Kluyveromyces lactis: one gene and its partners. The main gene of each other region encodes a partner of the protein of the gene in region 5 in a complex. Links are inferred from orthologs where the notes say so. Each region holds a gene or a part of one and is shown on either strand. Other genes may lie near its edges.

Region 1 (5,092 bases), on a different chromosome or scaffold from region 5:
TCTGATCACTTTGCAGACCTTTAATTTTTGATAACTCTGTGCTTGTATAGTTGCAACGAGCCCTACCTACTGTTTTCAGTGCAACGGATTTATCCAAATTTCCATCTGAATCCCTGACTCCCAATTTTATATCTATACATTCATGTTCATGGAAGCTCCCTTGGACTTCAATAACGCCTGCAGGTAACAAACCAGCTTTGTTTTTCCTCGTTAACGCTTCGTATGCACCAATGTCTATAATTACAGCGCCTTGACTGACGAGTCCATGAAGCATCCAGAATTGTCTGTTCTTCAAGTGATGATGATTACTATTGGCAATAAACCTAGTATGAAGAGGAACATGATTATTAACTAAACTTTGCATCTCAGTGAGTTGTAGGTCAGCCAAATCTTGTGTAAGTTCATTCACGCCATCGTCCCTTTCCTGCATGTAGAGAACAATTTTGGAAATGTTTTCTGGAGTGTCGCTCTTCATAATGATGGTATGGACACCAGCATTGGTTGCTAATTCTGCCGCAATAAGCTTAGTCTTCATACCACCAGTTCCAACATCTGATCCAGATCCACCGTCTGTGTTCACACCTGGCAATCCTTGTGATATATCTGGAACAACCAAGATAGGTTTTGCATCGGGATTTGCTCTTGGATTATCAGTGTATAAACAGTCAACATCTGTCAATAAAAATAGATAATCAGCACCAGTCAACGCTGCTGTGATAGCTGATAATGTATCATTATCACCAAATTTGATTTCGCTCACAGATAAAGTGTCATTCTCATTAACGATTGGCACTACTCCCATGGAAAGTAATTCACTAATAGTATTCTGTGCATTCTTATACTGAGTCCAATCAACAATGTCATTTCGAGTAATTAGGATTTGAGCAATTCTCTGATCAAATTCAGAGAACAAGGAATCCCACCTCCCAATTAATCTGCCTTGGCCCACAGCTGCGATTGCTTGCACCTTGGATAGTTTCTTTGGCCTTCCCTTCATATTCATCGTTTTCAATCCGACGGCGATACCTCCACTAGATACAATGATAACTTTGTGTCCTCTTCTGCGTAACTTTACCACAGTCTCCACAATCAATGACATGATAGAAAGTTTTGGTTCTTTGGTCTCTTCATCAACTAGTGATGAAGATCCCAATTTTATGACTATGACGAACTGCTTTACCATCTGAACTTGTTGGAAAACGTTCTTCTTCTCGCGGTCCGTAGAAACCTTTGGTTACAGAAATTTCAGGCCAGATTGACTAATAGCTGCTGCTCACAGACAGTACACTATGTTTATATCTGTTTTGCAGATGCAGTTATTCATCTTTTCAAATGGTCTGCAGATGTCATCGAAACATTTACTTTCAGTTTCTGTGAATTTTTAAATATTCACCGGTTCTTCAAAATATAGGTAACTATCATTACTAAGAACACTGGAAACAGACGAGCGTAGGTGGGCATACTAGCACTCTTCAGTCACACCTGAATCTGAAACGTTTAAATATCGGGGATAGATAATAAATGAACGTTTTTGACGAGATATTGCAACCCACTGTGGTTAATAAATGCTTACATGGGAATTTTACGTCAGCGGAAAGGGAAGAATACGTTGTTGCAAGAACCAATGTTCTCTCTGTATTCAGGGTCTCGCGAGCACAAAAGCTTGTACTTGCATATGAATGGAAACTAGCAGGTAAAATCATAGATATGCAATTACTGCCCCAAATTGGATCGCCTCTTAAGATGCTTGCAATACTTTCGTCGAAATCCAAAGTATCGTTGGTAAGGTTTGACCCAGTGGCAGAGAGTCTTGAAACACTAAGTCTGCATTATTATCACGACAAATTTGTCAATTTAAGCACTTCTTCTTTGAAGACGGAGTCCATTATGGCAGTGGATCCATTGTTTAGATGTCTTCTGGTTTTTAATGAAGATGTTTTAGCTATATTGCCATTGAAACTGAACACAGAAGATATGGAAATTGATGAGGATGAGAACGGAATAAAAGAGCCAATGGCTAAACGCTTAAAAAGGAACCAAGGAATCACATCCGATAGTATAATAATGCCAATTTCTAGCCTTCACAAGAGTCTCAAGCATGTCTATGATATAAAATGGTTAAATAATTTCAGCAAGCCAACTGTGGGAATATTATATCAACCGGTACTTGCGTGGTGTGGAAATGAAAAAGTACTTGGAAATACTATGAGGTACATGGTTTTGAGTTTAGATGTCGAAGATGAAAAAACCACCGTGATTGCTGAGCTTGCAGATCTTCCGAACGACCTGCACACCTTGGTTCCACTGAAGAGGGGATATGTGTTGATTGGTGTCAATGAATTATTATATATCAGTGCATCTGGTGCACTACAATCGTGCATACGATTGAACACATTTGCAACGTCTTCAATCAATACAAGGATAACTGATAATTCTGACATGAATATCTTTCTATCAAAGAGTTCAATATATTTCTATAAAGCTTTGAAAAGACATGATTTGCTTATTTTGATAGATGAAAACTGCAGGATGTACAACATTATTACAGAATCAGAGGGTAATCTACTTACCAAATTTGACTGTGTACAAGTACCGATTGTTAACGAGATCTTCAAAAATTCAAGATTGCCGTTGTCGGTATGTGGTGATCTCAACTTAGAAACTGGCAGAGTTCTTATAGGTTTTCTCTCAGGTGATGCAATGTTTCTGCAACTTAAAAACTTGAAAGTGGCATTTGCAGCAAAACGACAACTTGTTGAAACTGTTGATGACGATGACGATGAATACAGTGCACTTTATGGAGAGTCTCAAAATAATACTCACACCAGAATCGTCGAAACACAAGAGCCTTTCGATATATCATTGTTGGACTCCATTTTCAATATCGGTCCTCTAACATCTCTTACTATTGGTAAGGTCGCATCTGTTGAACCAACTATTCAGAGACTTCCCAATCCTAACAAAGATGAATTCTCAATTGTAGCTACATCTGGAGTTGGGAGGGGATCTCACCTCACTGCATTGCATTCCACTGTCCAGCCCCACATAGAACAAGCCTTAAAATTCACAAGTGCGACCCGTATCTGGAATTTGAAAATAAAGGGAAAAGACAAGTATCTTGTGACTACAGACGCTGATAAAGAGAAAAGTGATGTATATCAGATTGATAGAAATTTTGAACCTTTTAGGGCGCAAGATTTTAGAAAAGACAGCAGAACCATCGGCATGGAAACTATGGACGACGATAAACGTATTTTACAGGTAACTTCAGGAGGATTATATCTATTTGATGTTGACTTTAAGAGGTTAGCAAGATTAACTATTGATATCGAAATTGTTCATGCGTGTATTATTGATCCATATATTCTATTCACGGATGCTAGAGGTAACATCAAAATTTATCAACTAGACTCTAAAAATAAAAAAAAATTCATCAAATTTAAGCTTCCAGAGGCTCTCAATGAAATTATCATCACATCTGGTTCCATTTTCAAGAGTAACATTTGCAACAAATTCCTACATGGATTGGAAAACTCTTCACAAGAACAGCTTCTCTTCACATTTGTAACGGGCGACAATCAGGTTATTTTCTTTACCGAAAAGCACAATGACAGGATATTTCAGTTAAATGGTGTCGATCAGCTAGAAGACATGCTTTTTATAAGTACGTATCAGATTCCTGAAGAAATGAACCCGGACCCATCAATAAAGCAAATCATGTTAAACAGATTGGGCCATCATAAGAAAGAAGAATTTCTAACTATTCTTACGTTTGGTGGGGAGATCTATCAGTACAAGAAGTCGACAAAGCACAGCGGTAAACTCTTAAAATGTAAATCCCATCCTCTAATTACCGGTGCTCCTAACAATGCATACCCTCAAGGAGTTAATAAAATAGAAAGGGTTGCTCATTACTTCCCTAACTACAATGGATATTCAGTAGTATTTATTACTGGTCAAGTACCATATATCATAATCAAAGAAGATAATTCGGTATGTCGGATATTCCGGATGACTAATATACCTATTGTCACAATGGCTAGGTGGGGTAAAAACTCTGTGATGTGCGTAGATAATATTAAAAATGCAAGAGTAATGAAATTAGATCCTGAATGTTATTATGGGAATACTCAGATTCTTAGAAAAATCATTATTGAAGATGTTGTTGAGGAATTTGAAACTTTAGGAAATATTGCGTACCATGAACGGACCGGAATGTATATCATCTCCTATACCAAATTCATCGAATATCAAGCTCTAAGTGAAGATGGTGAGCCCCTTGTAGGTTACGATCCAAGCAAACCAAATAGTACTGGGTATAAATCTGGACTTCTTTTGATCAATCCACTCACGTGGAATATCATTGATCGGCTTGACTTGTCTGAGAATTCCATGGTAAACGACATTAAAACCATGCTCATTCAGTTGAACTCAAAGACTAGAAGAAAGCGGGAGCTGGTCATTATCGGAAGTTCTTTTGTAAAAGAAGAAGATCAGCCTAGCACTGGCTGTTTACTGGTTCTGGATATAACAGAAGTGGTGGCCGAACCAGGCAAACCAGATAGTAATTTCAAGTTTAAACAGCTCTTTGAAGAAGAAATTCGCGGATCTGTGAATGCTGTATGTGAAATAAGTGGGAGATTTATGATCGGCCAGAGCTCAAAAGCGCTTGTTCGTGATATGCAAGAAGATAATTCTGCTGTTCCCGTAGCGTTTTTGGATATGCCTGTGTTTATTACCGATGCAAAGAGTTTTTCTAACTTGATGATAATAGGAGATTCAATGCAGGGATTCACTTTTGTAGGTTTTGATGCAGAGCCATATCGAATGATTGTATTGGGTAAAAGTACCTCCAAATTTCAAGTCATGAACCTTGAGTTTTTGGTGAACAACGGGAATATCAATTTTATAGTCACTGATCGACAAAACCACCTTCATGTTCTAAGATATGCTCCAGATGAAGCCAATTCCCTATCTGGCCAAAGACTGGTTCATTGCAACTCCTTTAATATGTTCACAACCAACAACTACATGAAACTTGTTAGAAAACATGTGGAGTTTGGTTCTAAAACATCTAATTATATCGCACTGG
Region 2 (4,004 bases), on a different chromosome or scaffold from region 5:
TGCGGCATACGATGGATTACTGGTACCATGGCAAGATATACTCATTGCATTACCTGAACCACAAGGTAATTGAGTAATGGCTAGCTTCTGGAATGCTTTAGCACGATCTGATCTTAAAAACAAACCATTCATAATTTCGTGGGGGATACCATCACCAGAAGCACATGCAACTACGTCGTATTCATCTATATCCAAATTTTTTGCAATGTCGACAGCATGCAAATGATATGTTGTCTCTTTAACAACGATTTTGCAACCACTTGCTAATAATATTGGTTTGGCTTTGGACAAGAACAATTTATTGGCTTTACCCTTACCACCGTGTGGGTTGATAATGACTAGAATTGATTTGTTTCTCTTAGTGTTTTTATAACTTCTATTCAAGATCTCTTCTGCCACATCAGTTCCCATATTAGGAAACACTGAAGTATCGACGCTCAATTTTATTGTTTTTGGGACTAAATGGTTCCTCCTTGGCTTTGCAAAAGTGACTTCAATCAATGCAGTATGATCCGGCCATGGGGAACCATCATCTTCTGCTTCCATATTCGTGACATCAAGAATCTTTGCGTAAGGAATAACCGTATTTGAAGGTAGCAGCAGAGCTTCATTCTCATCTTTAGATTCCGTGTCGCTGAGACAAGTAACACAACTGATTAACGAAGCTGTTTCAAAAACACTAGATTGGAAGCTCCCAGAAGCATCGCCGTCTTCGTCATCCTCGTCATCGCCGAAATCACCTCCATTACTTCTGCGTGCCAAAAGCGTCGATGAGCTTGTTGAAGGACCGGACGTAAATTGATCTTTAATCAATAAACCATTTTCGCCAATGATGGCTCTTGTATAGGGCAAATGATACTTCCTGCTCAGCTTACTCATTATTCTTGCAGCCCTCTGTTTCCTTTTTCTCAGATGAAGGGAAATATCTGAATCAGACTCTGATCTCTGTTTGGACCACAACAGTTTTGGCAACTCAACAAGAATAATTAACTACCTCTTTTCCACCTTTACGTGAAAATAACGCAAAACAAAATCAAAAAAAAAGAGACTGATTCAAAATTGAGATACAGTCAAACAAGATCAATGACTATGTCTTCTGTTATTCTCTGATGAATCCTCTTATCAATACCTAGCTAATAAATCACAGGGGGTATGTTTTCGGGATGACGGATATATTACTGTTCCTTTCAGTTCAGTTCGATTTAATTTGATATATCTAACTTGAAAACGGAGAACACCAAATCGTTGTCATAAATATGATAAATGGAAACGTTTCTTGGAAATGATAATAAAGTATAGTACTATCCACCAGTTAAACTAGAATTCTCACAGACAAATTCTCTAAACAAATTTCCTAGGTTCACGATGCTTATATAAGAACCGATGCGCAATGCTTTTTTTATCAGACTGTCTTCTTGTCTAGATAACAAACCACGAGAGTAGATCCTTAGAACAATTTTCTTAAATAGTAGAGGCTTGATTAACAATACTCTGGCTGATATTGGATGTGGACAGAACAGTTTCTTATTCATCAATCATATCTTTACGTTTTAACTTCGAAGGCTTCCTGATTTTCGATTTCATGTAAATCTAAGAAATACAAAACAAAAGAAACATCAGTTGGCACGTGATATATAATCAATTATTACCCGGATATTGTTCTTATATGAATGTTAACTTAAAAAGATTCTAAGCATCGTTAAAGACTAACGGCCATACTAATGAATTAAGAAATCTGCTGTCGACTAGAAAGAATGAATATGTAATTATGTATGTTCGTAACGATTCATTGTGAGGCAAAATAATACTAGTTACTAGACACCAGTCAGATATTTGCGATAACAAGTTTGCAATTTAGAGAATACATATATATATCGAAACGGTGAAATACTCTTAAGTTGGTTTCTAACTAAACACAGTCAAAGTATGCATGACCCACAGAAGGATCCTCGTACTAGGAAAAGCAGGCATGAACTGACCCCGCACAATCTTTCATCTACCATACGTTTTACTGACATACCTGCTCAGTGGAACAAGGATAACTTCACATCTGTGATAACTGGTTCTGGATATATAGTTGACGTTAGAGAGAAATACGTGGATGAGGTCGAAGAAGCAGGAGAACGAGAAGGGGGAAAAGGAACTGGAGCTGGAGCTGGAGCTGGAAGTGAAAGAGGATGTCTTGAATGGGTAGATGTAGATTTCAGGGACTCTTCCTCCGCCAATAGGGCCCAAAATTCAATAAATAAGATAAACCATTTCCCATGTAGGATGTCCATGGTGATTCCCAAAGATTGGAAAGAAAAGTTAGAGAAAATAGACCAACTGAAACCGTTAGAGTTCACAAGAGACAATTTTCCCTGGGATTACAAATTAGAACTACCGTTTGAAATGGTAAGTGAGGTACCTTTACCAAGAAAGCCGTTGCCGGTGGTGCAACCAATAACAAGTGACGCAGGAAGCACACTATCCTCGGAGAATAACACTGCATCTACGAATGCTGCCTCGGATAACCTTGCCTCGAAGGCGAACGAGGCACCGGCACAGCAGATAGAGATCCCAGAGATCTTAGCACGGGCATCAAAGCATCTACCAGCATACCAACCGGGCTCGATGACTGCACCGGATGTGGTATCTCAAAATCTATCGAAGATTCCTACGTTACAAATGATCGAGATTCTATCAAACTTGAAGATCTTAGCCAACCAGCATAACAAGAAGCCACAACTGGAACAATTCTTGAAGACTAACATTGACTTAACGGTAGCTGTCACTCAGGCAATGCTAGAAATGGGGTTGATAAACTATCACGTGATATCAAATGTTCTAGGCCAAATGCAGGGCCAACATTCTGTTGGACCCACGCCTGCCGCAGCCGCGCCTACAGTACCAACTCTGCCGCCAGTTCAACTACCTGAGCCGTCTGTACCCCAGACGGCTCAAGGCATTAACAGCGGTGGTAACGGTACTGGTGGTGATATTACCACCACCGCTACAACCAACGCTGCCAACACCCCACAGCAGTTCAACGAGGCAAAACTTTCGCTACTGCCGCAAGATCAACAGAACATGATCAGAACTGCGCTTTCGATGCCCATAACGAACATAATGGCTCTTCCACCAGGCCAGCAACAACTAATACAGCAACTCAAAAACGACTACCTTCTATAGATAATAATAATAGCAATAACAAGAAAAATACATAGCACAATTCCTATCTCTTAGTCATCCATAATGGCTCGAAGGCTTTCTTTCTATCTATAGTGTATACCACCGTGTTTCCCAACCTAAAAGTTCCGCGCGCAAGTTTTCCTCTTTAACGACTTGGCTCATACAGGAAACTGAAAATGGAAAAAGCTGAAATAACCGACATTTCAAAACAGGAAGATGTCAAATGCATGCGGCGAAATGAAGGGAAACGAACGTCGAGGGAAATGTCTAAGGAAAGCGCAAAGGGAAAGAAATGCCGAAACGATTGGGCTACTATTCGAATGTTTTGGCGGTAGCTGCCGCCCTCCACAGCAACACGGAGCACTTTGTGTCAGGATCCTTTGGAGAGATTAGATAGATATTTGTTTATGTGCGTGTGTAAAAAGAAAAACTTGTCAAGTCCTCTCTTGCAGTAATCCGTTTCTGTTTTCAGTATGTTATATCAGGTATCATCAGTGCCGATCTGAGCTGATAAGGAAGGAAGGAGGAAAGGAGGGAAGGAGGAAGAGAGGGCAGAAGAGGTTTCCGTCGCAGTTTCACCGACCTATTCGTTAAAATACCTATTCGCTGCTCTTAATTTTTTGAATGGCGCGCGGATAATTACTACAGCGTAAAACACTGTGCTTATTGAGCTTAGAGATCAATGAAAAAAAAGTGCTTATGAAATTAAAGCAAGGCGATTCTTAAAGGGAGCGCGGGACTATACAGATGAGGTGCACATGAATCATGGGAAAAAAAATCGTATATAAATCCATGGGTAGATTGTTCTCTCTGAACTAGAGGAACCAGTTTCT
Region 3 (4,854 bases), on a different chromosome or scaffold from region 5:
GCCAACTGGCGTTGTCCAAATGACAGATATCGATACATAATCAAAAAACCACACACAACCTTGGGATCAAAAGCTATTAGTAACCACAGTGTGAATTTGAATATTCATAGTTTTACACAGTTTATGTCTTCTACAAGCTCATTGTAAAAACCAAACTACTAAGTAAAGTCTTTAATGTGCTAAAACTAATTATATCAAGTAGTAGCATGCCACAGCTTCCTCTCATCAAGAGAACCAAAAACAAGAAAGAACGAAACAAGGCTTATAACTGAGAAGTGCCATTCAAATAGAGCCCTTCTGTAGCCCAAAACCGAATTAGCTCGATGGCACAATAATTAATACAAAGAAACAAGGGTACAAAGAGGAAAAACGAAATAATTGCGTCAAAAGAAAGCAAAATCCAAGTGCTGGGCGAAATGAAAGAAAGTAGCCTTTCGAAAATGGCCCTTAAATGGCTTCTTGAACCTCTTTGACAGATAAAAACCCTTCACAAGACACTTGTTACCTAAGTTACCTTCAAATTTCAACTTCTTGTTTCTTTTCCTTCACTCCCATTACTCGATCTCTTTCTGTCACGTTGCTTCTTTCTTTTACTGAAAAGTGTGGCTTTCTTTCATCACTATGGGTGTATTTGTAAGTTAAACTTGAAATAGGAACTTGCCTGTTGAATCAACAGCGGCTGAACCAGATGATACTGTTCGGGTATCGGTAACGTCTTGTTTTCTCGGATTTTATCAGTGTCTAACTGGCTAACCTTCTATCTCTTGTGGTTTTCCTTTGACTCTTTTTGTCCGCATCTGTCAATTATGTATCAAGATAAGGCACATAGCTGACTAAAAATAAGTACCAGTTAAACATATTTGATGATAGAACAAAAATATTCAGATTAGAGATGGTAGGTTTATGCAAAACAATGGGGTATGTGGCGGACAGCTTCACTATTATAGTAATGATCTGTTCTTTTCTGTGATATGAGACGTTTTTTTTTTTTTACTTAGTTTATCTAGTGGGAAAGTTGAGTTTATGTGTCGCGTTCAATGTAGAGAAACTTTTGTTAATGACTGGGGCTAAGGCTTGAGGGGAGACTCACGTTGCCTTGGCCATGATGCATTATGCGAACCCTGAAGAGGTAGTATGAACGGATCGTAAGACTTTCTATGTTGTCGCAGTCATTGGGTCTTCGGTGATAGCATTGGTATTACTGTTTGCTGGGACATTTGATGATGGAGTGGAATTAGCGTCATTTACTGGGGAAGAAGAATTGGTGTTGCCACTGGTAGTAGTAGTAGACTTGCCATTGGACGGATCGGATTTAGGTCTTTTACTCTTTTCACCACTTTTCTCCGGTTTCCTCTTCTTGCTGGATTTCACAGGACGTGTTTCCCCCTCTTGGTAGACTTCATCCGGTAAGTCATGCACTTTCACATACTTGATGATTAAAGAATACGTTTCAGGGTCCTCATAGTCGGGTAATGAGCGACACAAATTGAAAAATTCTTGACATGGAATGTGTATATCAATTTTTTTACTCTCTTCTGTGTTGATGTCAAGTCCAATAAACATCGTGGCTATGTGAACTTGATTAGAGTTTTTGGAGGCTTCATCGTCTTTGTTTGCATCAGTTATTTTTGTAAACTTTTTCAATACACCTTCTGTCTTATGTGTACCGTAGTTGTTCATGATCTCTTTATATTCATCCTCATTATTGTATATATAGCTGGACTCGTATGGTTCAATAAATGGATGCGCCAGATTGATTCCTGGTAAAACTTCTAGTTTTTGGACCAACAATCTGAGCTTACTTTCAACGAATCCACTCCATTTCAAGTGTTGTTCGTCGGAACCCTTTGTTGAGACCATAACCGTTAGGTAGAATTTATACTTGAAGAAGAAATCGTGTTTCTTGAACAAATCTTCCCATGATAGTTCATTAGAGAAAATCTTTTGTGTGACCTCTACACCTCTTTGTAATTCAGATAAGATCACTTTCTTAGTTGACTCACTGATGTTGTGGGTAGCACACATTGAAGGGTACGCTGGTGTAATCACAGGCATCTTGTGGGATCTATCCTGTGCATATATTTTGGGGTTCCACACGCGGACCTGTAAAGGACCATCTTCGATTGGCTTCAATAGGACAGGTTGTGGCCATTTCCAACGTGATAAAATCTGAAAGAATTTTGATATTATTACCGCACTGCATGCATTAGGGTACAATTGGCAGATTCTTACCACAAACATCGCCCATGCGACACCACCGGGGAACCCAAAGACGTTTGCATATACTGCTCTTCTCTTTGCCCATATCTTAATAGCTCTTAATGCAATCTTGAAAGATGTTTTATTAGGCACTAATTCTAAAATTTCATCGGTGACTCTGGTACCGTTCAACGCTCTTAGATCCTTTTCATCAACGTTCCTTAACAAATTCTTATCACTTAAAGTTAAACTTATTGGAACCTGGGGTAAATCTAGTTTAGCAAAGATTAAATCGATGGAGATTCCATTGAATTTGATCTTGATAATTGGGACGAAAGCATCTGGAACTGACGCAATTTCTTCAAGTTCTGGTCTTTCCCTCAACAGAGCATCGAATACGGTAAAGAAATCTTCTCTGGATACATGTTTAGGTACCACAATCAACGTATCAATATCGGAACCTGGACCATGGACCCCTAATCTATAAGAACCAAAGGTAAATACTTTACCACCAGCATCACGAGCCATACCATCGGACATGTTTTTCTTCTTTGAAACCTGATATACAAACTCTTGTGTCAATTTTTGGAAGATTTCTAATACTGCCACTCTCTTCCCAGTTTCTTCCTCCGTTTCGAAAGAGCCTTCTTTCTTAAGCTGTTGAATTAATGAATCGTTTAATGCGTTTTCGGCAGCAGTGGGACCCTCCGTGGAAATCGGGCCCGTTACACCAAAGATCTTTTTCTGGGACATTGTATTGGGATAATATTTGTTTCTGTAATCTGGTATATTTCTATTCCTTGCTCTATCCAGATAATCACTTCCCCCGGTATTTAAAAGGCTGTCCGCGGATTGTCTTCTTGGAATGTAGTTCTGAAACTTCTTTGAGATTGGAGACGATGTTGGTGAGTTAGCCGGTGAATAATAAACGTAATGTAGCCCTGGCTGATTGAAATATTGTTGCTGATGCTGCTGTCTTTGATTATAATGGTGGTGATGTTGCAAATGATGCTGATATGTGTTTCGGCTTGTATTGAGATTTAAATGCCGGTTTCTTTGTCTGGAGGGAGATGATCCTACACTATCAGATTCTGAACTTTTTCCCCCTTCCTCTTCTTCTTCTATTAGCCCTACTGCACCTAGTACTACCTCAGAAGTGATATCACAACCGGAAACCTTGAGCCCTGCAAGATCCGAGCTTATTGAATTCAACTGGTCGCCAATCACCGTCCTTGAATTATCGTAAGTGTCCTTGAAAACCTGTGCGTCTTGTACTGAAGTCGACAACCTGAATGAGTTTTGACTTGCTACGTCTTCCTAGATCAGAAAGAACCGTCAAAAGTACTCCTCACAAGTTAATTCGTGATGAGGATAATCAAATAAGTGTCGGATGTGTATAATCTCCGAGAGTTAATACACCAAAGTTCCAATGCAAAGGCTTTTTTCAGTATTTGTGAGTCTGACACTAACTTCTTTTGTTGTTGTTGTTGTTGGTAACAGGTGACCAATATCAAAAGATGTGCTCGTCACTAATTTGAACTAAAAACGTAACTAGCACAAACTATCCAGTTATATTCAGATAGAGAGAGACTGTGTGTATATGTGTGTAGACAAAAAAATCAGCCAGTTAATATTGTATTGTCTGAGAATTCCGTTTCCCTTTATTTCTTTCCTTTACCAATTCTGTCTCAGGAGTGTCCAGCGAATGAAAGAATTAAGAAGTTCAATTTGAAGGTACTGGCAAGTTTGGACCAAAGGGATATGTAGTGTTGGTTTTAACTTTAGCTTCTCCTGTTCACACACTCAAACCAAATAAAAGGTATAGTAAGTTCAAAAGTTCACACTTTGTTATATTATTTCATTTTGTACTAAATTTTTAAAGCCAGAAAAATTCAAAATCGATTTCAAGACCCAGGAAAAATCAATAATTACGTGAAAGACCCCAATCATAAGAATGAGCGAGCTTGAATTTGCAAATTGTATGTTCAATTTCCTGTAAATCTTATCCAACAATAATTCAATTGGAAGTATATGCATATATATAAACGAAAATCCAGATATGGAAGAATCAAGATATTTGATGATTACAAAACCTTTGTATTTCGTGTGTAGATCTGTAACGGCATCCGAAAAAAACAAGAAAACTATCCCATTGACAGTGAAAGTCGGCCTTTATATGGGCCCTTGTAGTTCGTTTGGAAACTCTTCTCCCCGTTAATTTGAATAAGAGGCTACTGGCTAAATAGGCTCACTGACTGTGCTATCTATTGGATACGATCTGGATCCAGTTAGATTGGCAGATCTAACCATTTCCGGGTAATACTTGGTTTTTTCTAACTTTTGGTGGCGAAAAAGGGGAAAAACAAGAAAAACATCAAATCAAAATCAATTCTAGTCAACTCGAGAGAGATATTCCAAATATCTAGAGAGATTTATTTTTATATATACCTTTACTACATCCAAAGTTAATCGGTTAGGTCAGAGATATATTTTGAATTCTCAATTTGTAATTGTAATTGAGATCAAGCCCAATACTGTGAGTAAATAAACTGGCAACATGGATGAACGTTTGATTGCTACGATCAATAAGTTACAGGATGCTTTGGCTCCATTAGGCGGCGGTTCTCAGACTCCGATTGATTTACCACAAATTAC
Region 4 (3,567 bases), on a different chromosome or scaffold from region 5:
TTCAGGACCAAACGCACCAGCTGCGTTTCTTCTGAAACTGTAAGCTAAACCACCCTTACCGAAAAATCTGCTCTTGGTAGAAGATGGTGGTGGTGGTGGATTCTGTAAATCAGAGGCAGTTGGTGCCCTGGTAGTCCTCAAAGAATATGTTCTGTGCATGGTTGTAATATATGGTGTCTTTATCTTTTTTTTTAACTATTACTCGATCAAATGAACTCTATATAACTGAGCGTATGTTCAATATTAATAGCTTGCGTGTTATTATCACAATAGTAACCTTACTTTTAAATATAGAAGTGTTATATATATATACAAATAAATTACCAAATGCAATGGCAATTCTCCTAAAAGTGGCCGGAAGTTGCTTTGGAAAAACCTTGCTTCCATTAATTTTCCTTTTTACCCTTTTCCCTTTTTTTTATTTCTGTTTGTTTTCGTCGAAAATTTCATTTTCCATTTTGAGCAAAACCTCGCTGGTTCATAGACAGCAGCAGAGGAGAGACGAAGTGACGAAGAGGTACCGGTCGACAGCCTTGCTGTGATGCGAGACTGCCATCCCAGTAGCTGGCTAGTGCCAGTTATAGGTGTATTAGAAAACTGACTTCAAGAACTCACGCTGTTGCCTGGTGTACATTCATGCGTCCGCTCTCAGGGTTAATGCTTATCAGTATTGCAAGAAAAAAAAGAAACCGAAAGAAACTGTGGAATGGAGTGTTCTATACTGGGGAATATGTCGACCGCGTGTCCATAAATGAAACTCAGCGAATGATTTTGGCTGAGAGGTCTGATACCTATTGGATAAGCAATTTAAGGTATGTGAGCCTTGGTTCCCTTAATTTTTCAGGTGTGTTGCTTTTGCTGTCGGTTGATAGAATTATCCGGCTGTAACATTGTGTAGTATTATGTTACTTAGTATCTGTATCTGTATCGAATTACGTATGGTGAGCTGAATAGTGAATAGTGACAGCAGCAGTGGCTGAGAACGAACGCACTGATGAAAACTGAAAAAATTCAGTCACGTGACTAGGATGTCACCGTTGATAATGGCATTCAAGCGTCTTTCCCTTTCCTCATCCATCTTTCTTGTATTAATATGCTCGTCTTTCTTGATGCGCAGTTTGCTGTGTTCTGAAGGTACTTTGAATTTGGGATGCGACCAGTCGCAATCTTTACCCAGTGGACAAAACCCTACCAAGTATCTGGGGCAAAGTACCTTTTTGACATGTTTCTTCGTGCATGCAGGTCCCGATGGACAGAACCCCATATTATAATCCTCACATTCTTCTAACTGACTCTTGTGATCTACGTGCAAGTATTGACACTCCGGTGATTGTGTACAGTACCCGTTCTTGGTGAAGAATACACACTCGGGCATCTTTCTTAGGTTATACTCGTGTAAATATTCACATTGATCGTTCTTCTTGCAGAGACCTCGGAGCCAGTGCTTACAAACAATCTTGTTCTGAAATATCGGTAGCACATGCTTGTTTGGACAGCGTGCTCCGTTGGGACAGGATTTTATCCCCTCTCTTGAATTATAGTATTGGCATACCGGTCTATCTGGATCTAACGAGAACGAATATTCTTTCCGTAGAAATGGCTCGAAATTAAACTCGTACTTCGAGGTATCTGGATGAACTATACTCATTAGTTTAAACTCCCTTATCTCCTTGACAACCCAGTCTAATGTAGCCTACCAGTCGTTTATGAAAATGTCTTTGATGATTGGTAATTAATCATGTTACAAGCGAGTTACACACAATAATTATTTTACTAATTCTTAAATATAACGTTATAGGATATTCTGGGTTTTCACATGAGAAAAAGTCACGTGAACTGAATAAGGTAGCGTTCTCGGAACCAATCAGACGTTAAGTGCAGCTAGCACAAATGTCAAGATGAATGAGACTTTGAAGCTGGGTTTGTCCCAGATCAATGTGTTCAAATCAATCCTCTCACGGCCGATGGTCACAACGTATTTGGAAAGAGAACGAGTGCTGTCACTGCTGATAACTCCCCTGTTCTGCAAGAATTGTAACCCAACGAATCCAACCCCGGTGATGAACACGAGAAGACTTGATATCTTACCAAAGATAACACCGAACACTAGACCTAAAATTGACCCGTAGCACATTTGTCTGTAGTTGACTCTTCTTTGCTTCGAACTTATATCAACACGGCTTGGCAATCCAAGCTCTTGTGGTAGATTCGTTCTTTGCTTAACATCAACAATTGAATCGTTCATGATATATGAGCTTGGTTGCATCGAGTGCAACAACGATCCACCACCGACTAATAAACTACCGCTGAATCCAACATAAACACTTCTTCTTAATGGCACGCCAAGGTTTCTTGCTGCTGTTCTGAACATCTTTCCTAATTCTTTACCTATTATGTCGATTGGTCTGTCTTCACTCGAGGATATAAAACACAATTCTGAGTTGAACTAAATGAGACTGATTTCTAACCGAATTTCTTCGTTATCGAAAGATTAAATTATAAACAGTGATTTTGTCTACGAATTGTCGTTTTCTTAACTCAATAGCAATTTGCACGTACTTCTCAATATTTCTTTATATAGCCATACTGACGATGGAGCCTGCGACCCTTTTTTTTCAACCGATGTTGAAATTTAAGAATCATACAAAACCCAACATGCTGAAAAGAATAGGATTTGGGTGACAGTCATTATAAAAAAGAATATATAGAATTGTCAGTTAGAAAGTGATAAGCGGCAAGTTATCAGTCAAGTAGTACCTTTATTACTATTTTATATGTAAATTAAGGCCTCCTATTTGGGTTGGAAATCATTTGTCGTTTACTGATATATACGGAAACAATTCTATGTTCGGTGAAAAAGACGCGTAGATATAAGTATATACATAACTTTTACCGTGATGATGATGATAATGAAGACGATAATAATGATTTGGTGATGGTGAGTCCGTAAGGATGATAGTGGTCACTTTTTTTCAACTTTCTGCGATCTTCAACTTCGAAACGTAATCCTCTAATTGTTTCCAGTTCATTTCCCTCTCTTTTTGACGTCTGTTGTTTTCTTTCAAACTAGATATGTAAAGTGCGTTGCAATTTTCGTATAAGACATTGTTCGTTTCAAGGAAAATTTTCAATGCTTTGAAAGCCATTGCATGAATGGCACGATTCCATGAGCCGGAATTTATGGCTTGCTCGACCATTAAGTACGGATCTTCACCATTATCACCATCCTCTAAACTCAACGGATCATTCTTGTCCAGTTGTGAGGTTAGTTTGTATAGGGGCGGGAAAATTATAGGAAGTATCACTTCCGCATTTTCAATACAGAGGTTTAAGAAGTATTCGTTGTTCCAATAGCTTAGCACTTTCTCTGCTACTTGGAAATGCGGCGAAGAAATACACTTTGCTAATTGAACGAACAATGGCACCTCTACCTTGATAAATTCCAGAGGCTCAATTACTTCAAAGATATCTTCAATCTCATTTAAAAACATAATTTCCTTAGTAGAGTTGATCTTAGGCCAATAACGTAGTAATCCCATGATAACTTCTTCCGTAAGCAGAGGCTCC
Region 5 (5,218 bases):
GAAAATATGCAACTCTCAAGCGAATTAACAAGCGAGCGCTCTTTTCGAAGGGGAAAAACTTTAAACAAAAAAAACTTCTCAGAGACTTCTCAGAGGAAAAAAGAATCTTTAAGCGGGAATTCCAGAAAAATTGCAACAGGTGAGAAATAGGAAAGGAAAAAAAAACAACAGATAGCAAAAGGGGAAAAAAATTAAACGACCCCGGAGAGGATTGAACTCTCGATCTTGCGATTAACAGTCGCACGCCTTAACCAGCTTGGCCACGGAGTCGTATTTGTGGAATATCGGGATTTTCTGAGTTTCATATTCGGGCTACCTGTTGTGGTATATGACTGTACATGTCACGTGGCTTAGATCTTGTCAGATCTTTATTAGAAGAATTCATCTTGATTAGCTATCTATCTCCTAGTAGAATTAGATGCACCTGGTGTCTGTAGATCTGATCCCTACTAATTAGTAGATTAGATCTGAGTACTGGTTTATATACTTTGCTATGTGTCAGTGACACAAAACTATCATTAACCGCCTATTATATTGGTATCACCCGGTCATGCATTATGACTAGTTCCAACGAAATCAGTGTTCTGCAACCGTTGAGCGAACCTGTAGTGCAAAGTTTTTCTATTTCTCAAGTACAGATCCGCGATAGTTTAATGGTTAGAATTCGCGCTTGTCGCGTGCGAGATCGGGGTTCAATTCCCCGTCGCGGAGTATATTTTTTGCCCTCTAACCCCCCCAGATAAAGAATGCCAGACCTAGAATAGATGTTTGAATCCCGACATACATACCCCATTGGTCAGCTCTACAACTGATCTATAAATGCTTTACTACAATGCTAAATTACTATAATTAATTAATATCTAAGTCGATGTCACGTTTATAGAAAGCTTCCGCGAACAATTTAAACGTTGGCTAGCATGTCTGACACTGCCGATTTGACCTTGTAAAATACGTCCGATGGTGAACCATCAACTATGGTTTCGGCATCATTAATCTTCCGAACCAAAACTTTGCCATCAATCACTAGTGTACCTTCACCTTGGAACTCAGCTTTATGATTTTCCGCAGTTAGTCTTCTTTTCAATTCCGGTAGTCTAACATCTCCGATTCTTAGAGAACTTCCAGAATGTAAAGCTAACGGGTTGCTTAACGGTTTCAATATAACCTTCTCCCGATGTGGGGCTTTTGGGTCAGTTTCTGTCAATAGTTTACCAACAACGTGTGCCACAGTGAAAGATTTACTGATTCTTTGCCAGTTTAGAAGTTGGTCGAGCGATGGATCGATAGAAATATCAATTGCCTTGACAGATGTATCCATCTCAACCGAATTATTGAACTCAGTCACCAATATGTCAATATTTCTCTTTGTTAGATTAACCACGACTTGGTTATCAACAGGAGCAGCTGATGGCAGCACAATGACTTTTCTTGGTTTGATTGCAGGCCAGATGATTGCTATCGACCGCGCATTAACTATGCTTGTCAAGTCGATATATACCAAAGAACAACGAATGTTAACTTTTGTTTCCACAATTGCTCGTTTATAAATGTCACTTTTCAATGGGTCCAAGTAAGAAATATCATCATTATTTTCTTGTTTCCTAGGATTATGATCTGTTTTTCTTTTCTTTGATTTATTAATCCGCGAATCAAGTACCTCATATGTATCATCGTCATCGTCTTCATCATAATCGTTATTACTATAAGATTGCTTTAAAGATTGTGCTTGGTCATATGATTCTTCCTGTGGTAAGAATCTCTTTAAGTTGACCACATCACCGTAATCGTCAGATTTAAGCTTTGCTGGATGGAATGGGAACATAAGGTGCTTTTCATTTGTGGAAACACTATCATTGGAAGTAATATCTACGGGAATCTCCACTTTAACGTTTCCCGATCCATTCTTGCCTCTTGCATCCATTGAATCCACACCTTCTTCGTCGCTACTCTCATCATCAACATCAAAAAGTATTGTTTTTGTTTGAGCTTTGTCATTGGTCTTAGCCGTATATTCTTCGATAATTTTCTCTCTTACCTCATTTCTAGTTTTAATCATTTCTCTCACCTTCTCCGCATCCTTCTTGTTTAAAATTGTTCTCTTCATGATTCGAAGTGACATCGAATCAGATATGCTAATGGGGTTGCCATCCAATGCACTTCTACTCCCATTCTTTATTGCTTGTTGCCATTTATCATTAAGTTTTCGTAAGGGATGTTGTGCTGGGGTATTTGGATGTCTCTCTGTCAATATGATCGTTACTTTATCTTTAGAGCAAAGTTTGTTTATCGTTTGTGACAAAATATCATCAACTTCGGAAACAAGACAGATCTTTTGCCCAGTGTAACCTCCCAATTCCTCAGGAGTAATAATCCTCAATCTAGATACAACATCGAATGGAGACCGATTGTCTCGAGATTCCCAGGTCTTGATTACTTGCGAGGACAACCATTCTAACATAGATTTAGCATATGTGAGAGAACGGCCCCTTGAATAAGATATTAGAAACACCGGAATATCATACTTCAATCCACCCCTCATATTTTCATATAAGAAATTGTTAACTAGGACTAGTACTTCCAATAGTTTCCCTCCTACTTCAACTGGTACCAGTAAAGAGTTATTCATTTGTATAGCTCTTTTCATGGTATCAGTGAAATGTTCTACTCTTTTCCTCTGAGGTTCAGCTGAGCCTATAATAGAAAGGTTGGTTATTACAGAAGTCGGATGCATCATGGAACTGGTTGGATTTCCAGTATTGTCTAATAGGTCCGCACTATTCAAGATAGTATCTCTTGTATGGTTCCAACGAGGCGCATACAATATTTTTTCTGATGAAGTGATTATCGTCCAAATGGTACCACCGGGAGCATACCCTGAGTTATGTGCTTCTAATGAGAGCCCATCGAATTTATTCTTTAAATCCACCGTTTGAGAGTATTTCACCGTTTCAATCAAGTCAAAGGAGCTTTCAATATCTTCTAGGTCCATGACGGCATTAGAAAACGGTCCTAATATCCCAACTGAAGTTAAAAGGTCAACACTGTTGACTCTGCCTAGATTTGATACAGGTAACGTCCCATAAACTTGAATTCTCGACCTAAAATGAGGCAAAAACTGTTTAAACATCATGGCATAGGACCCAAGGCATTCAATTGTGGGCTGGGAAATCAGAACAATGTCAACTTCAGATATGTACTGCGTCCAAAACTCTTCACATTCTTCATAACTGCCTTCACCGTTCCATCCTGGGTCCAATAATACTATTACATTGTTGAATCGTACAATGGTTCCCTCAAACCGCTTCTTCTCATCCCTACATGTTTCGATGGTGTATGTCATCTTGAGAGCACAGTTACTTCTATATTTGAAAAACAATGAGAATCCACTGGTTGGAATGGGAAAGGAAAAGGTGTCCTCAGTGCCGGCAATCTCTTCTTCTTCTTCCTTTATCCTTCATTCTTCAATTATTTGCATGTACTGTTTAAATGAACTTAATGTTGATGCCTTGAGTATCATTTTGACATGTTATGTCCGGGTAATGAGATATAATGTCAGTAAGAAGGATTAAGAGGCCAAACTGAGACAGGGAAGTTGTTATTGGACGAGATACTGCTGCAATCTGTAGGTTGGTACGGTCCAGTAGGTGGAATATCAAACATATTTCATTGCTTACAATTATAGGCAACAAAATCCACAATTTTATCGGTACTTTAAGTGTCAAAATGTATTCCGAACGTTCTTTGAGGTTGAGTCAGCATATTAAAGAATAAAGCGACAGATTACGGAACAGATTGCTCAACTGACCCAAACACTGGAAGAAGTCTAAAGGCATCTTGGATATACCAGCGTACTTGAAATCAGTTGAATTATAAGGACCTAGTTTACAACGTGCAAGATAAGCTGCATTAGTTGACACTTTTGACAGATTTGCTAATGATAAGAAGGAGGAGAAGAAGATTTAAGGGTACAAAAGTAATGAGTCTTCCGATCGAAATTATTGATCGTGTAGTAACTAGCGGACTAGACAGTCTAGAGAGTCTGTTAGCATGGAGTAAGGTTGGTTCACATTTTAGAACAATTATAAAGCGCAAGCTTGGTGTATTGAAGATTTGGGATTTGGATAGGGAATCATCAAAAACCTTAGCAGATCCTTGCAATTATGAGTTGTTATCTGATGAGAGAAACACCGCTTGCGTAAATACAGATACGTTCAAGTTTCCTGTGTTGAGCGAATTTCTACGGAAGTTTGACAACGTTCTCATTGTCATCGTATCCGATCGCTGCTACAGTGACCCATTGGCGACGGCATTATGTGAATTAAGTAGAGGGCTAAGTGGGATGGGTACTCTAAAGAATCTATGCTTCATGTATAAGACGACTACCAATTTCCTTTCCAAGTTCTATTTCAGAGAGCTAAGCCATTGTCAAAGCCAACTACGATTATGTGAATTACATATATTCGCCAACCGAGATATTAATCACCAGGAAGTTGACATGTTTGATATCGACACGATATTTGAGACTACTTATTTACATGACGTGGAAACGCTGTTCACTTTGAACATAAGAAGGGGTAAGAAAGTGATTGCACCTAGGATTATGACAGTGAATCAATTGCAATGTGAGGATAACACTACAATAGTCGATGATCTACAATACTGTCCCCTGCTTAAAACGATTGAAAAATTCCAAGTGCCACCAGGAAAGAGAGTTGTATTACCACCATGCGACCATTTAACTCTCGTCAGTTACAATAGTAACACTGAAAGGGATCTTGTTGATGGATCCTTCGTGAGAGAATCTTTGACAATCAGGGCATCCCCAATGTGTTCAGAAGCCAATTTCAAGAACATCAAATGCCGCAACATTCGATCCCTATGTGTCGAATTTAGTAACAGTGTCTGGGGTAACGTCAAGTTCATCGATTGTGCTTTTGGGAACCTAAGGTCTTACAGGTGTCCAGTGAATACAGAATGGGAAGATTTGGTTTATTCAAACTCAATTTACGTTGATACAATCATATTCAAAATCTCAAACATGCTGTCACTACAGAACCTCGCACAGATCCCATTCACGTTGGACAACCTCGTCTTGAATTCAGACGACAAGGAATTGAAACCACCAGAATGTAAGCCGGATCAAATGAGAAGCATATACGGTTGTAAACAGGTAATCCAAGAATTGAAAAGGTTGGAATTCGAACTTTCAAGCATCTGG
Region 6 (3,803 bases), about 530 kb from region 5:
GATGAGAAAATCGCACAAACATATAAAGAAGACGAATTATGGAAACTTCCTCGGAAAAATCCATCTAAGGTTTGCTCTCTTACAGTTGATGTGATGTATCTTCCAAGAACTTCGTCCATGGAAAGATTCCCAAAGAATCTGAAGGCAGTTCAGAAGTGTTGCGAGAAGTATCTTGAACAGCAAAGGGTCAATAATGAAGGATTCCTGTGGCAAGAAGGCGGTGATGTAGAGGGAATGTTGAAAAGAAGATATATGATTTTGAAAGGCACTGAACTTATAGCTCATGACGAAGTTACCAGAAAACCACAAACTTTGTTGAATCTTCTAAACGTAGTAGATATATACTCTGATGGTAAAACGGCAACTGGAAAACAAATGAGAAACTTTACTGATATGGTACTTTTCAGCGATTGCTTCAAACTCCTTTTTGCAAATGATGAAGTTATAAATTTTAACGCTGATTCTAATCTTTTAAAACAACAATGGGTTGAAATTTTGACCAGCGTTGTTGAACTGAATAAATTCCATCAACCATGGATCAAAAGAGTTTTTGAAAACGAACAATACAACATTACTTTTTAAACTGTTATAGTATTCAGATATATAGTTTGTCTTTGCCATTTTTTTTGAAGTATAGTATATTAATGTCATTTCTCTAATTATAACAAATGTCAACATGAGGTCTTTAAAACTAAGCTGTGTTACAATTCCATCAAGGAATCGAAAATACATGTACATGTCCGCTATATATCATTAATGTTGCTTGCAATCAATACGAGCCTCAAGCACTAAATTTCATTTCTTGTCGTTGAGATTATTATTGTTGTTGTTGTTAATGTTGTTCATGTTGTTCATGTTGTTCATGTTGTTCATGTTGTTCATGCTTGATACATTTTGATTTTGCATGTTATTCATCATACCCGGAAATGGAAATCCTGGGAAACCACCAAACATGGGGGGAAGTCCCATAGGCGGAGGAGGAGGTTGGATTGTATTCTGTACAGGTTGTCCTGAACCTGGATCATTTAACTTTCCTTGCTGCTGTAAAGCTAGGAGGTTCATCAAAATCTTTTGTGGGTTGTATTCTTTCGTCAAATGTTCTTGTCTATGTAAATATTCCATCCAAGTCTGTTCATTAAATCCATAATTGAAATAATCTGAAATATTCGCTCCTGGTTGTCTCCAGGGCTTCTCCTTTAGAATTTCTGGATCGATCTGTACTATAGGTTTCCCATCGAATTGTGCATCCGGGTTCAAATCAATAGTTTGTTGTTGCTGCTGCTGCTGTTCAGGTGGTATTGAACCCTCCTGTACAGGAACCACGTCCGATATACCAGCCACTGCTGCAATAGCATGATCCGCTGTACCAAGAGGCGTTGTGTCTGTTATAGCAGATATCTGGGACTTACCAGAATCTATCTTAGAGGTATCGTTACCAGTTCCGATGATAATCTCAACATCTGAATCTGAGTCACTGCTGTCATCCTCATCTGATGAACTATCCTGATTGGAGGCCTCACTCTCTACCTCATTCGTATTACCTTCCGGTACATCATGAGCTAGTATCTTGGGTGTTTCTTCGACCTTTTGTCTTTTCAATGCAGGACCCTCTTGCTTTGCGACTACGTTAGAATCCTCCTCATCGCTGTATAGAAACTTATCGTCTTCATCCTCACTGCTCATAACGATTCGTTTCTATATGTCGTTCGTGGACTGGTAGAAGATTTATCAATAAATGCTTGGAAAGTTTGGAAGGCTGCGCAACCCAAAAGGTATCTTAACAGGAAGATAGTTCTTCTTCTCATATAGAAATCAACTAATAGTTAACTCTCAATGCTAAGATTTACCAAAATGATGCTGTTAAATCGACGCATATCCGGGTAAATTATTGTCGTATTCAATGACAAACATTTCTAATGAATATCTGTCACCGGACAGCGGACAGCGACTCAGCTTGTTTGGACGGAATGTATAATATGGGTTAAATGTGTAGCTAATGAGAATACATGATTTACAGAAGAATTAGATGTGCATGTTGCGGACAGTATCGATTTCCGATGTTAACGAACTTGAAAGAATATGCGATGGTAAGAATTAAAGATATGGAAAAGTAACAAGGGAAACCAAAGAAAAAAGTGCATCTTATTGACGAAGCATAATACTTTGTCCTGTTTTTTCAGAGTAAAAGTGTGAATTAATTAAAAAAATTGACAGAAAACAACAGAGGAAACAAACATTACAGGCGAGTGAGTGTCTTTAATGTGTTGAAAAGAGTCAGACATTGTTGAGAATGAATGTTCAAAAAAGTCGATTGTAAACTGCAATTGAGAAGTGAATGTTCTTTTTTGAAGTGTTTATGGGACCTGTAAGGTTGACTAAACATGGTCACCTTGTGTCCGCACCCACAGAAACAAAGTAAAAAAAAAAATGGAAGGTAATTTGAAATGAAGTAGAGAATTAGAAAGGAATGAATGTAAGAAATATGATGAAGAAGGAAAAAAATATGCAGGTGTATCATACAGGCAGTCTATAGCAAAGGGGGAAAAATAATATCTGGATAAAAGGATGAGGATTGTTCCATCAAAAATACGTCTTGGAGAACTTGTAATCAATTTCTTGGAATCTAATCTTATCGAAATAATCCAAATCGTTAGAATCAGCCAAGAAATACCCAAAATAAGGTAGTAACTTGTTAGTTAGCGTGTAAACAAACTGATCCTTTTCCGAAACGACCGAATCTTTCTTTGAAGATGAAGAGGAGAACATGATGGGTGCCACCAATGCACGTTGCTGTTTTTTCTTCACTGGAGCCATGCACTGCAAGTCATTGTCCAAATCTTGCTCGTCTTCTTCCAGTAACACGTTGATACTTCTTGTAGAAGAGAAAACAGAACTGTGTCTTGTGTCAGCCAGTGAAGGTGGTGTAGAAGAAGAACAAATAATTCTCTGTTCATCTTCTTCTTCAAAACTCGTCTGTAAAAATTTCAAATTGTGAACGTGAATCAAATGGACAGGCTGAGTATGGATCATCGACGGCATATGGATGGACCTTGGCTGTAAATCGTGTCGACTGATAACATGCTTCTCATGAAAATCAAGGCTTACATCATCTTCGAGATCAGAAAGTGCCAATTCACCATGCCATTCCATGTTAACTCCACATTCTTGCAGGTCGTCCAGTTTCAAATAGCTAGAAATATCCAGCTCGCAGTGCATTGTATTGGGTAAAGTATATTAAGCTTCTATGGTAACCAGTTAGTATTTCACTATCAGTTTTTTTTTATGCACGGTAATGAGGCAACCGATAGAAAAAGAAAGACAGACAAGAATATGTCAAAAGCCTCAAAAACGATAGACCTATATATAAGCTTGGTAGATAGCATTCCACTTCAAACTGCATATACTAAAGTTAGATAAAACTAGATTTATCCTAAAATAATTCCCAAATTAACCCTAAATCATGTCATATCGTATCATGCCCAGTTACATCTAGATCCAGAAACAAGGTGGAAACAGGAGTAAAAACAATATTGAGACTGGGATAAACTAATAAAACTAATTAACTAGTTAATTATAATGCAAGAATTTACCAGATAGAACCGTAGCATGAAACAAGGGCGGTATTAACTGTAAAAAAAATAATTTTTTTTTCTGATCTGATTTGATTTAATTTGATTTGCAGTTTAGAGCCAAGATAAGACACGCGAAGTGAAATAAGCGCAGGATAAATTTTGATTTGAAGGGGACAAAAAGCAGCACAGTACTTAAGAGTGACATTTCAGGCGTTTCCGTATGCGGTAACG
Region 7 (3,453 bases), on a different chromosome or scaffold from region 5:
ATTTACCAATACAAACGCACCTGAATGAAAATGACAGCGAGATTGCCTTTGTTAAAGAACTTTTCAAGGATTGTCATTCATATACCGACGTGTATCATAAACATGGGTTATTAAATGGGAAAACTGTTTTAGCTCATTGCATTCATTTGGAAGATTCTGAAATCGAATTATTAAAGAAATCCTCAGCAGGAATATCACATTGCCCAATTTCCAATTCTTCTCTAACTTCAGGCGAATGTAGAGTTAAAGAACTTTTAAACTATGGGTTGAAGGTGAGTTTAGGGTCTGATGTTTCCGGTGGTTTTACAGTCAGTATTTTGGAAAATGCTAGGCAAGCTTTACTAGTTTCCAGACATCGAGCAATGTCAGTAGAAGATCCTGAAAGAAAAGAGGAATGCAAACTATCTGTCGCCGAAGTATTGTATCTAGCTACCATGGGTGGTGCTAAAGTTTTAAATCTGTCTGATAAAATTGGTAGTTTCGACGTAGGGAAAGAGTTTGACGCACAATTGATAGATTTATCCACCAAAGGAAGCAACGTATCCATTTTTCCATGGCAAAAAGTTACCAACGACAAAATTCAACCGAACGGGAAGGATAGAATCAAACTGGAGAATATTGTGGCAAAATGGTTATTTAATGGTGATGATAGGAATGTTAAAAGTGTTTGGGTCCGTGGAAAATTGTGCCATCAAAATCTTTAACTAATCGTTAGCTTACAATTCCATCGAAATAAGTATGCAAAACAAGAATAGCATGATATATAACTCAAGATGAAATAGAACTAATAATATGCAGCAGAATAAGTTAGTGGTAGTTTTGGATATTTCTCTTGCCATTCAGTGAAGACATCCATTATAAAATCCTCAAATTGAGTTCCGTTTTTCTCACATTCAAAAACTTTATCTCTTAGCATATCTGCCAATCTTAATATTGCTCGCCCACCAATTTTAGCGTTTTCATTATCATCTTTGATATCGATATTGATAATATGTGCAATTAGATTAAGCTGACCACCTCTATTCATCAGGTCCTCGCACACAGAGTCGAAACACCTTTCTTCACAGGTAAAAACGAAATCAAAAACCTTTCTCCCATCGTGCCATTTCTCAGGAGCTTTTTTTAACTTCCTGTTACGATCTAACATTTCTAATACACCATTTTGCTTGTATCTATCTTCACTTTGAGAAATCAAGTCATTATATATATCATCATAAGGCGTACCAAATGAATACACATTTGGTTTATCTATCGAGAGACCTGGAAGTCTAACTGCACTTCCAGTACCGTAACTAGAAACATCATACCCTGCCTCTTCCAATACCCTATGGGACTCCATGGACCTGTTGTTGTTAGATGCACACACAGTACAGAACTTAAGCCCGCTATTTCTCATTGATTCGCTCATGCCTAATAGTTCCTCTTAGATTCGTAATAACTTTTAGTCAAATTATCTATTCTGGTAGCACTAAGCAGACAACACTGTATGAAAATGAGAGTTATAATAATTGAATATGAAATGCAAGTATGGGCTGTCTACCATTTCGGTTACCAATTATGAATATCTTGTAACTTTCATTGAAGCTCTTAACAAAGTCAATTTTATCAATGTGCAGCTAGATAATAATATTACCCGGAAATGCGACGCTTGTAATAATCTTAATAGAATTATAGATTGGTAATTAGTATAAGTTCAAGGTCACTTCCGTTACACCCGATTACCAAAGCCTGTCCTTATTTGTGGCTGAATTAGGTGCTTGACAGCCGAAGGATCCATATTATATAATGATACTAATATTTAATATAATATCTTAAACAAAGAATGAGGAAGATACAGCAGTCAGCAGGAGGATGAATCCTCGACAAGAACTTGTTCAACTTCAGGATCAGCTGGATCTTCGCAGACGATTATTCGCTGGCTTTTGCATTTAACATCTTCAAATTCTTCATCTTTTGGTTGCGGGGAGGACATTTGTTTGCCAGAAACTAATGTTCCAACATCAACGTATTCTCCAGTGTCCTGTATGTCTGACTCCAATGAGTGAATAGAATCAGAACCGACAGACATATTGGCACTTTGATATAAATCATTTTCTGGCCTGGTTGTCAAAAATTGAATAATTTGACTATCTCTGAAATAAGTATGAAACTGATCCCATTCATTCTTACCTGAAATTAACATACCGAGTAACATTGACGGATCTGTTTCTGATATATGCAATTTGTTGAATTTGTGTCCGTGACAACTTCGGTAAAATTCAAGATCATCCATCATTAAAGAAGATTGCTGAGTGTTGTGTGGATCAAGGTAGAAAAGATTTTCATTTTGATATCCAAAAAAGTATAATGATGACGAGGGTTTACCGCCTGCGATCCCGACAGAATATGGTGATGAGAGAATCTTGAATATGTCTTTCCAGTATAAGCTGTTGATTTTGTCAACACCCAACCTGACAGCAAACAGCAGAAGTAAATTAGCATCCCTATCCTTATGAAAAATTCTTGTGACCTCATCTTCGTATATATCTGCCGACTGAGTTGAAATTATACAATTCTTAATTCCACAAAGGGGAAACCCTTCAATCAATGTTTTTATGCTTCTGGCTGTTGCGCTTGGCCCAAACCACTGCCCAGGTTTCATTCCAGATATTTTCTCTTCTGCTTTGACAAAGTTGTGTAACGACAAAGGATATTTGACATCGTCTTGAAACCAACGGATCAGATTTAACTCATTATCATCTATTCTTGAAGCATTTATTCTGAACTCCCTGGCAAGCTTGACTCTTTGAATGGCATTCGCTAAAAGAGCCTGCCCAGTGCGTATCATACAACCCCAACCAATATCTGAATAAAAACTGTCAGGATCAGTTAAAGCATTTTCTAATGTGTTGATAGGATTATCTCTAAAAAAAAGGGTAAAATTGATAGGAGATGGTCCATTCTCATTTCTGCGGATAGGGGTAAACTGTGTGCGGTATGTGAAGAACACTCGTGAATGTACGTCAGACAAAAGTCCAGGATTTAATGAGACGATATTTATCAGGCTTTCCAAGGCCGAGTCATCTGTTTCCACATCCGTTCTTGATTTATTGTTAAGGGGAGCGTATTCTTTGCCCAATATGAACACGGTGCCATCTCGATCAACATCTTCCACTATACCTAAATGTTGTGATATCCTTGACAAGAACTCCATATTTGCATAGGGATGGCTGGGTTTGAAGATTGAGCGATACGTTTTCCTATACTTTCATGCACTTTGTACTCACTTGCTTTTTACGATGCTGATCATAATTTGCAGAAACTTATATTTCTAATATTAATGAACAATAATCTATATGAAAAATGCATTTAAAACCATGTAGAAAATAATACTTCATAACAAGAACGTAACTCTAAGGTAAGCCTGGTACACCCCTTGTTGCAGCTGCTAGGAATTTGAAGCAGTAGGTCATC

The links.
Region 1: the proteins of CFT2 (region 5) and CFT1 are in contact, whole or in part, in a cryo-EM structure (PDB 7ZGQ), measured with the Saccharomyces cerevisiae proteins. The link is inferred for Kluyveromyces lactis from reciprocal best matches to the Saccharomyces cerevisiae genes CFT2 and CFT1. Residues at the interface, in NP_013216.1 of Saccharomyces cerevisiae: Ile524, Ile525, Ile526, Gln527, Ser532, Lys533, Lys535, Met536, Phe537, Pro538, Phe539, Pro541, Ala542, Lys543, Ile544, Lys546; in NP_010587.1 of Saccharomyces cerevisiae: Lys84, Ile85, Thr99, Leu100, Ser101, Leu102, His103, Tyr104, Ala196, Val199, Ile1277, Asp1278, Arg1279, Glu1280, Leu1281, Gln1282, Gly1285, Leu1286, Asn1287, Arg1289, Met1290, Leu1293, Ala1294, Tyr1298, Gln1299.
Region 2: CFT2 (region 5) and PTI1 share a complex: the UniProt entries of both Saccharomyces cerevisiae proteins name them as parts of the cleavage and polyadenylation factor (CPF) complex. The link is inferred for Kluyveromyces lactis from reciprocal best matches to the Saccharomyces cerevisiae genes CFT2 and PTI1.
Region 3: CFT2 (region 5) and PAP1 share a complex: the UniProt entries of both Saccharomyces cerevisiae proteins name them as parts of the cleavage and polyadenylation factor (CPF) complex. The link is inferred for Kluyveromyces lactis from reciprocal best matches to the Saccharomyces cerevisiae genes CFT2 and PAP1.
Region 4: CFT2 (region 5) and YTH1 share a complex: the UniProt entries of both Saccharomyces cerevisiae proteins name them as parts of the cleavage and polyadenylation factor (CPF) complex. The link is inferred for Kluyveromyces lactis from reciprocal best matches to the Saccharomyces cerevisiae genes CFT2 and YTH1.
Region 6: CFT2 (region 5) and FIP1 share a complex: the UniProt entries of both Saccharomyces cerevisiae proteins name them as parts of the cleavage and polyadenylation factor (CPF) complex. The link is inferred for Kluyveromyces lactis from reciprocal best matches to the Saccharomyces cerevisiae genes CFT2 and FIP1.
Region 7: CFT2 (region 5) and SSU72 share a complex: the UniProt entries of both Saccharomyces cerevisiae proteins name them as parts of the cleavage and polyadenylation factor (CPF) complex. The link is inferred for Kluyveromyces lactis from reciprocal best matches to the Saccharomyces cerevisiae genes CFT2 and SSU72.

The regions. Positions count from the first base shown.
Region 1 is NC_006039.1:879,735-884,826, reverse strand, and holds the start of CFT1 (cleavage/polyadenylation factor CFT1), read left to right. Parts: upstream 1-1,521; coding exon 1,522-5,092. Other genes in the region: PRO1 (glutamate 5-kinase), read right to left, coding at 1-1,183. UniProt on the Saccharomyces cerevisiae protein: RNA-binding component of the cleavage and polyadenylation factor (CPF) complex, which plays a key role in polyadenylation-dependent pre-mRNA 3'-end formation and cooperates with cleavage factors including the CFIA complex and NAB4/CFIB.
Region 2 is NC_006042.1:1,903,551-1,907,554, forward strand, and holds PTI1 (cleavage polyadenylation factor subunit PTI1), read left to right. Parts: upstream 1-1,926; coding exon 1,927-3,171; downstream 3,172-4,004. Other genes in the region: KLLA0_F20504g (sphinganine kinase LCB4), read right to left, coding at 1-879. UniProt on the Saccharomyces cerevisiae protein: Component of the cleavage and polyadenylation factor (CPF) complex, which plays a key role in polyadenylation-dependent pre-mRNA 3'-end formation and cooperates with cleavage factors including the CFIA complex and NAB4/CFIB.
Region 3 is NC_006038.1:1,160,987-1,165,840, forward strand, and holds PAP1 (polynucleotide adenylyltransferase PAP1), read right to left. Parts: upstream 2,953-4,854; coding exon 1,156-2,952; downstream 1-1,155. Other genes in the region: dynamin-like GTPase VPS1, read left to right, coding at 4,757-4,854. UniProt on the Saccharomyces cerevisiae protein: Polymerase component of the cleavage and polyadenylation factor (CPF) complex, which plays a key role in polyadenylation-dependent pre-mRNA 3'-end formation and cooperates with cleavage factors including the CFIA complex and NAB4/CFIB.
Region 4 is NC_006042.1:760,046-763,612, reverse strand, and holds YTH1 (cleavage polyadenylation factor RNA-binding subunit YTH1), read right to left. Parts: upstream 1,649-3,567; coding exon 1,016-1,648; downstream 1-1,015. Other genes in the region: lipid-binding protein PIL1, read right to left, coding at 1-159; FUN14 (Fun14p), read right to left, coding at 1,865-2,371; protein phosphatase 2A regulatory subunit RTS1, read right to left, coding at 2,973-3,567. UniProt on the Saccharomyces cerevisiae protein: RNA-binding component of the cleavage and polyadenylation factor (CPF) complex, which plays a key role in polyadenylation-dependent pre-mRNA 3'-end formation and cooperates with cleavage factors including the CFIA complex and NAB4/CFIB.
Region 5 is NC_006041.1:1,062,195-1,067,412, forward strand, and holds CFT2 (cleavage polyadenylation factor subunit CFT2), read right to left. Parts: upstream 3,341-5,218; coding exon 902-3,340; downstream 1-901. Other genes in the region: KLLA0_E12035g (uncharacterized protein), read left to right, coding at 3,977-5,218. UniProt on the Saccharomyces cerevisiae protein: RNA-binding component of the cleavage and polyadenylation factor (CPF) complex, which plays a key role in polyadenylation-dependent pre-mRNA 3'-end formation and cooperates with cleavage factors including the CFIA complex and NAB4/CFIB.
Region 6 is NC_006041.1:533,635-537,437, reverse strand, and holds FIP1 (cleavage polyadenylation factor subunit FIP1), read right to left. Parts: upstream 1,684-3,803; coding exon 796-1,683; downstream 1-795. Other genes in the region: BUD4 (Bud4p), read left to right, coding at 1-582; transcription factor IME1, read right to left, coding at 2,581-3,216. UniProt on the Saccharomyces cerevisiae protein: Polymerase-regulating component of the cleavage and polyadenylation factor (CPF) complex, which plays a key role in polyadenylation-dependent pre-mRNA 3'-end formation and cooperates with cleavage factors including the CFIA complex and NAB4/CFIB.
Region 7 is NC_006040.1:1,644,490-1,647,942, forward strand, and holds SSU72 (RNA polymerase II subunit A C-terminal domain phosphatase), read right to left. Parts: upstream 1,409-3,453; coding exon 785-1,408; downstream 1-784. Other genes in the region: GUD1 (guanine deaminase), read left to right, coding at 1-704; cysteine protease ATG4, read right to left, coding at 1,841-3,193. UniProt on the Saccharomyces cerevisiae protein: Component of the cleavage and polyadenylation factor (CPF) complex, which plays a key role in polyadenylation-dependent pre-mRNA 3'-end formation and cooperates with cleavage factors including the CFIA complex and NAB4/CFIB.